Linked DNA regions of Coturnix japonica. The protein of the gene in region 1 purifies or fractionates together with the protein of each later gene. This does not show direct contact. Links are inferred from orthologs where the notes say so. Each region holds a gene or a part of one and is shown on either strand. Other genes may lie near its edges.

What was found. The genes of interacting proteins can lie anywhere in the genome.
Region 2: the proteins of FLCN (region 1) and FNIP2 purify together in Homo sapiens (affinity purification with western blotting; 5 studies listed by BioGRID and IntAct, with this or other methods). This does not show direct contact. The link is inferred for Coturnix japonica from reciprocal best matches to the Homo sapiens genes FLCN and FNIP2.

What each region holds. Positions count from the first base shown.
Region 1 is NC_029529.1:4,761,813-4,765,463, forward strand, and holds part of FLCN (folliculin), read right to left. Parts: intron 3,238-3,651; coding exon 3,077-3,237; intron 2,503-3,076; coding exon 2,411-2,502; intron 1,654-2,410; coding exon 1,463-1,653; intron 338-1,462; coding exon 224-337; intron 1-223. UniProt on the Homo sapiens protein: Multi-functional protein, involved in both the cellular response to amino acid availability and in the regulation of glycolysis.
Region 2 is NC_029519.1:19,400,188-19,403,838, forward strand, and holds part of FNIP2 (folliculin-interacting protein 2), read left to right. Parts: intron 1-113; coding exon 114-214; intron 215-372; coding exon 373-462; intron 463-1,645; coding exon 1,646-1,717; intron 1,718-2,352; coding exon 2,353-2,482; intron 2,483-3,651.

The DNA.
Region 1 (3,651 bases):
AGTGATCAGAAATATCTCACTCTGCTTGAAAGAAAGACTATGCAGTTGCCATCTATGGACAACCAAGAAATCCAAAGGTTGGACTTTAATCTCCCCTCAAAATTATGTAATTTAGAACACATCTTCCACAAGTTAACATATTAGAGGCAGGTTATTATGAAAGCTGGACTATTTAAACACATGTAAAAACAAGCATCTGGGAAACAAAGGAAGAAGTCTCTACCCGTAGCACATCAAAAGCAGACTGGACAAGATCCATGTCTCGAGCTTTCCAGATGACCTGGTTCCCCATCAGAACATGCCAAGCCAGCATGCGGAATGCTGATGCCCCAAGAACCTGAAATGAAACCATACTGCATTTGTTATGAAAGTCAGGGAAATGCCCAGTCTGCCCAGTTAAAACACATGCCACACAGGAAAGCATCTAAAACCAGACAGCAGGAATGAACATGAACATTTAGCAACAGTTCAAAACCCAGCACCAAGATTAAGTATTTCTCTGACAGATGCTAAAGGTGTCAGACTTGTGCAAAGTAATTTTCACCACCTCTTACAGCTTCACGAATAAACAGCAGCAAAGTACCACCTTGACAACATGCCCAACCCATGATCTGAGTCAGCATTAAGCACAGTAAGAGAATCTTTCCAATCCTTCAGCTCTCTGGCAGGGTTACACAAATCAGCTGCTTCTTGGCTGAGTTAGTGGGTGGGCAAGATGGATACAGGCCTGTTTGGAATGGGACTGAATGATTTCTATTACGTGGTAACTTTCACCCATTTCTCTGATCTGTGTTATGTTCCTAACAGTGATTCAGGCATGAAAGATGTAACAATATGCTTAGATAGGCCTCTAAAGGTAGCCAGAGGTTGCAATATGGTGTAGTTTAATAGCTTCTAGCATTCCAAATTAGGACAAAGGAGAACAAGTGGCAGATAAAGCAGATCAAGAAGTAGGAGATACTTGTCAAGAGCATCCAGGAAAACAAGCTGGTGTAAAAGAAACGACGGGTCTCCCACACAGAGCCTTCCCCTCAGAGTAACTGGAAGCACTAATGACAAGTTAAATCCACACAGACTGAACCATTTGTTCCCTATTTTTTTTCCCCTTAAGCATTTTTGTTGTAAGCAAACAATACTCAGACCTCTGAATGTGCTGCATAACCTCTGCATTTACTGACATGGCTTTTGGGAAGGACAGAAGTGCAGAACTGGAGAGAAATCACATGATCCCATCCATGTCAGATGACTGGAAGAGGGTCAGGACAAGCAGAGCACAACCTCAGAGAGGGCCAGGATCTCAAATGCCATTAACACTGTTACTAGCTATGTAGGTATTGCCCTGAACAGGAAACAAATGCAAACTGAAGGAAAAAAAAGTATCCTTTTCAAAATACAGTGTCGGAAGAATGAGAATTCATTAGCTCCTGAATTCAGAATCAAAGTAAATGTGCTCCTCTCTTACCTGCCTCATATGCCTGAGAGAGCGGAAGACAGACAACCTTCTGTGAGCCACGTTCCATCTGTTGCAATCTGGCATCAGAGATGTTTCAGGAGAGCATTTAGATAGTTCCTGCCCTTCTGCAGCATCTGGCTGGGAAGAAGGCTTCTCTTCTTCCTCAGATCCATCCCAGCCTTCTGACTCTTCTTTGAGGTCTAGCAAACAAACAGACAAGAGCAACCTGAGTTCTCATTATAATTGCAGCTAAGTCTGGAAATCACCTTGGAAGTGCCTACACAAACTACAGATAACTGTTTTTGGCTGCATGTGGAGAGAAAGTATTTGGAATACAATAACTGAAAACACCAGTGTCACCAGCCTTAAAGTATAACTAAGTTTTGCATCTCAGATATAAAATAATCATTGAAAAGTCAACAAGGAAAGTTCATCTTTTATGGAACAAAACATCACATCCTCCAACCAGCTGTGTGTCCTCTGTTCTTTCTTTAAGGGTCACTGCCACAGCTTTTAGGCAGATTTTGCAGATTCTATTCTAAATGGAGAAATAAAATCACTAAATATAAGAATTTAAGATTCCTTAATTTTAGAAACTTGGTAGGAAAAAAAAAGAGCAAGAAGAAAGCTCCATATTTTGCCTGCAAATTCTTCTGGCTATAGAGATAAACTGGGAAGGCCAACCCAGCCAGAGAACAATAATGACAATGATGCAATGTTCCTACACAAACAATAAACAACATAAGTGTATGCAGAGAGCCTACAATGCCACAGGCATTGATTTCATGTCCCTCGAAGTCACAGTCATATGGGAAAGCACATCAGCTACTGCAGGGCTACCATTAAGGTGGGGTCCAAGAGAGATGGTTGCACTTGCTATGCTGGCAAAAGCACTTGGTGTTTTACCAGCCACAGCGTTCTTAGAGGATCTTCCAGCTCTGGAAACTCTGGCCTCACCTGCAAGTTTTTCCATCTGAACAAGGGTGTCTTCAGTTGGAGCTCCCTCCAGAAGTTTCTCTGTAAGCCGGCTGCCACAAGCTTTCAGAAGCCTGGAGACATTGAAAAACAGGTGGAAGCAGTAAGCAGGCTTAATGAATGCCAAGCAACAAAACAGAGAAAGAAACTTGGTGTAACAAAACATTCAACCATTTACCAGTACGTGTTCCTTATCCACACGCCTACATGTTCCTTTGTCCTAACTACCAGTGTTCTAATTGCTCAGTCACTGCAAGGCCTACCATTTTGCAATTACCTTGTGCAATATGCTTATCCCCCACCCAAGTCACATGCCAGCACTGCATCCCTCTCTGTGGCATCTTTCCAGGGAATTCTGATGACACACTGAGGGGTGGGAGTGTCTTTCCTTGCATTTCTCCTTCCTTTTCCTCGTACTTCAGTTTTCCCATCAATAGTCACATAAGGAGATTTACTTCACTGCAATAAGAACTATTTCTGCCTTAAAGCCATCACGAGGCCTTCCGTGCTCAGCTCCTTCCAATTCAGAGACTTCTTAGCAAAGTCCAGCTTACTACATCAAGAAAAACAACCCAAACATTTCCACCCTTTCAAAATAAGGCAATATTTTCTTTGTGTTCCAGAAGCCAGAAACACAAGTGATATTACCAAGCGAAAGAAGTGTGCAAACATGCCCACAGGTTCTCATCGTTGGTCAGGGATGTTAAGGAACGGGCTGCGTTGCCATTGCGCTGGTGCAGGAAGGGGGTGAATGCTGTGTTCATCCGCTGAGCACGCTGAGGGCACCCAAACTGCTCAGCTTCAAACACCTGCAGCACAGACAGTGGACAGTGTAACAGTCTTATAAAAGGCTGATAGAAAACTAAAATCACCAAAACGCTAAGGAACACCCACAACAGAAAGAGGTGCATCAAACACAGTCATTCAAATACACTAAATAATGAGGGAAGGTAAAATACCTTATTCTTAGATTGATTAACATTATCATTAAGTAAAACATCAGCTCTCAAAACTTTGTCCTTCACTACTTTGGGTACTTAAATTCTAACAGAGCTATTGTGTGGCAGTTTGGAGCCTGAAAGGCATCACAAATGGCTTAAAAGAACAAAGGTGGCCTCTCTCCTATAGACCCAGATACACACAGCCCTTTTACTCCTTGTATCAACCTTAAACTGATTGCAGTGAGCCAGAGCAGCTTTTGGATTAAGATGCAGAAAGCTACC
Region 2 (3,651 bases), on another chromosome or scaffold:
GTTAATCTTCAGCTTTTGGTTTTTTTTAATAAAGTGAACCTACTCTTCAAGCTGATATTAATGACTGTTGATCAAGTTAGAAACTACCTGTTTTTCACTTGGCTTTCTTATAGCTTACAGGATAGCTTTGAATACATTAACCAAGATCCCAGCCTTGGAAAGCTGAGCTCTAATCAGAATGGCTTGGGTACCTGTCGCAGTGGAAGTAATTTAGGTAAATATTTCCATATTCTTTCTGGTACCGTGATACCATCTGTTCATTTAGGGTTGGTCTCTTTTTTTTTTTTTATTTTCCTCTTGTGCATCACTTTTTCTTTTTTTTTTTATTTTTCCTTTGCATTGTGTTTTCTCTACATTGCTTTTGTTTCCTAGGTGTGTTACAGCTGTGTAGCAGCAAACTGCTGCAGGGTGTGTCTGAAGGAGGTCCCCTCCGGCTCATCCGCAGTGCTTCTTTCTTTGCAGGTTTGTGTGGAATGCCAACCAAAGTGTGACCCATCCATAAGCACACACAAATTCTGCTCTTTCTGAATCCTTGCAAAGAATACATAATCACTCTCTAGAAATAGAAAGGGCTGAGGTGGTGACTGCAGAGATCTGGATTCATACTCTAAATTTTTCTTAAAAAAAAAAAAGACACTTGATGGATAAATTTCTTTTTGTTCATCTTTTGTTTGTAATTCCAGTATTGAACTTTAAAGCAATGTGTCTAATAACGAATGAGCCCTTAACATTTCTTAGAGAACTTATGTTTCCTGCCTTATGGCTGATTTCTTGCTAGTGTGGAGGTGTCTTGCTTTTTCTTATGCCTTACTACTTTCCTAAAATATAAATATATGTATGTATTAATAATAAATATATGTTTTAGGGGTGTGTGTGTATGTATGTGTGTGTGTATATATATATATATATATATATAAATGGCAGTAGACTTTCTGTATTACTTCTTGAGCTAAGTGTCAGGAGCTTTAAGGTTTTTGCAATATCAGTTTCTTTACATAGTGCCCTTTTACAGGTGTATGATGATCCATGCAGGTGGGTAGATACTGGGCTTAATTAGTTCTGTTAATTGTAAAAATGTGAACTAAAATGCCAATGCGTTTCTTCACAGCCTTTGCAAATCTTGCATGCTTTACAATTCTGGTGACTCCACTACTAACACCTCAATGTAGCACAGCATAAAGCAAATGTGTCTTACTTGTGAAGCTTTGTAGTTAATAAATCAACTGCTTGGAGAGTGAATCAGAAGCTTAATGGACCTCATGTCTGGCTATTCCACTGTAACATTAACTTCTGTAAAATTATAATCTTGAACACAAAACAAATGTTAAGATTAACAGATGAGAGTACCACTAGTCTGTTTTTTCAAAGTGTATCTGATTTTTGGTGAAAGAGAATTTAGATTCTCAAGCTTCTTGGTGAAACTTTTAGATTGGGTAAGTAACTAAATTCCTCTGGTAAAATAAAATGATTATGGAGCATGGAGTTTGCTACTGCCTCCACTCCCAACATACTGTTTATTTGAAGTAACATTTCAGGATGTAACTTCAGTATTTTATGACCTTTAATCTTTAACATTTTTTAAAATGCTGACAGATAATACAACAAATTAGGTAACATTTTTTTTCTATTGATCTGTTTGTTTTAGCACATAGTACACCTGTCGATATGCCCAGCAGAGGACAAAATGAGGACAGAGACAGCGGCATTGCTCGGTCAGGTATCTGATGTTTGTCTTGTTTGCCTACTTTTGTAATTGCATTACAGTTCTTTGACTTGTCTAAATTCCAGGTGATCCAACACCTTAAGAACTGAAATCCAATTTTTGTTTTGCATCTATTGAGTTTTCTTCCTGCTTTCCTCTGCCTTTATGCAAGAGTATTCATTATTATTGTTATTATTATTTTACAGCTATAACTTTCTGGCTTTTTACTAATTTGTAAGCCCTAGAAAGAACAGGCTGGAACTTCTACTGTAGCAAGGGAATTGAAGAGAAATTAGCACTGAGTAAAAAGAGGAGGCTGGGAAACTGAGGTCTATCTAGTCTGACTGGAGTGCAAGCACCTCCTGTCTCAGAATGCTTTTACTGAGAATAAGACTGGTTTTAGCATGTTCTAGCCAGGAAGATCTCTGACCCTGTAAGTAGCCATGTCCTAAGATGAGGATAGTTGTTTAAATTAGTTGTGCATTTCTTTTTGCAGTGAGTTAAATGAAAACTATTCTAGCTGTATCACAGAGATCAGCAAACGAGAACAATATTTGTGTGAATTTGTTCCCAGGCAGTGTATTAAGAAAAGTATTTAACTGACACTCAGTAAAATTCAGCATGTTTTTTTCCTTCTTTTTTTTTGACAGCATCTTTGAGCAGTCTCCTGGTTACTCCTTTTCCATCTCCGAGCTCTTCATCATCATCTTCTAGCAGCTATCAACGTCGTTGGCTCCGAAGTCAGACAACCAGTTTAGAGAATGGAATTATTCCAAGGTGGTGAGTGTAACACCTTCCTGCTTACTGCAGCTGCTTGGCAATAATTTTAGCTAAATAGAGCTCAGACCTCTTCTCTTTAAAATGAGAAATTGTGGTTTAAAAAATATTGGCAATTCATTCTGACTTACTTGTCCTTTTTATGTAAGGTAGCCTATATGAAGAAATATCTTAGTTGAATGTGAGCTACAGGGCCTGAATTGGATTATACACATTTTTAATGAATGGATAGTCTGTGTCAAGAAGACCTCATTCTGAAAAGTAAACTGTTTCTGAAGGAGCAATCAACTGAGATGAAAGTCTGTAACAACACCACTGCCTTAATTATGTTATATTATGATGAAGTCTGACTATTGGGCATTTATGGAAATCTTGGAGTAATAGCCCAAGATGGCTCTTTTGTCTGGTACAGGATATTCTTGTGACTTCTGCCAAACCAGGGGGAGGAAAAGAGCTGTGATTTGTGTATGTTTGGTGGCCCTGCTAGGCAGGGGGGTTGGAACTACATGATCCTTGAGGTCCCTTCCAACCCTGTTCATTCTGTGATTAAAAAAAGACTGGCTTTTGTTTTGGAATTTTATTAGTTTTTTCAGCTGAGTGACACAACAAAGCATGGAATGCAGCAGATCTCTTGTAGCTAATAAGCACATTCTTGTCTTGTTAGCTGCAAAATAGTGAATGGGTCTTGATTATCTGCTCATATGTGCTCATCTACCTGCACCCAGAGACAATGTTGAGTTAAAGGAGAATTACAGGCAGTTTCTACATTTGGGCTTGTCTCTCTTTGCTGTCTTTGGTTAGGAGAATCTTAAAAGCTGCTGGTTGAATTGTGGTCAGTCAAAAATAAACACACATACTTTTTGAAAAGCCCACTTTGAAATATGTCCTAGTTCAGAATTGACTTTTTTTTACAACCTTTTCCTTGGATGTTCTTGAAGAAACATTTGTAATGTTAATTGTGCAATTGTGCTCATGTAGTGGTCATGCTTTCCTAAATCACTCTTGAAGCTGAGAATGAGCTAACAAACATTTTGCTTTCAGTAAATGGAAATGCTCCTTAGTCTAGTTTCCTAGAGCAATAAGGCTATGTGTATATGCAAAAGAAGTTAAAACATTGAGGGGGAATTAGATTATTCCCTCTTTGAAACAATTGAATTTAACATTTTCAAGTA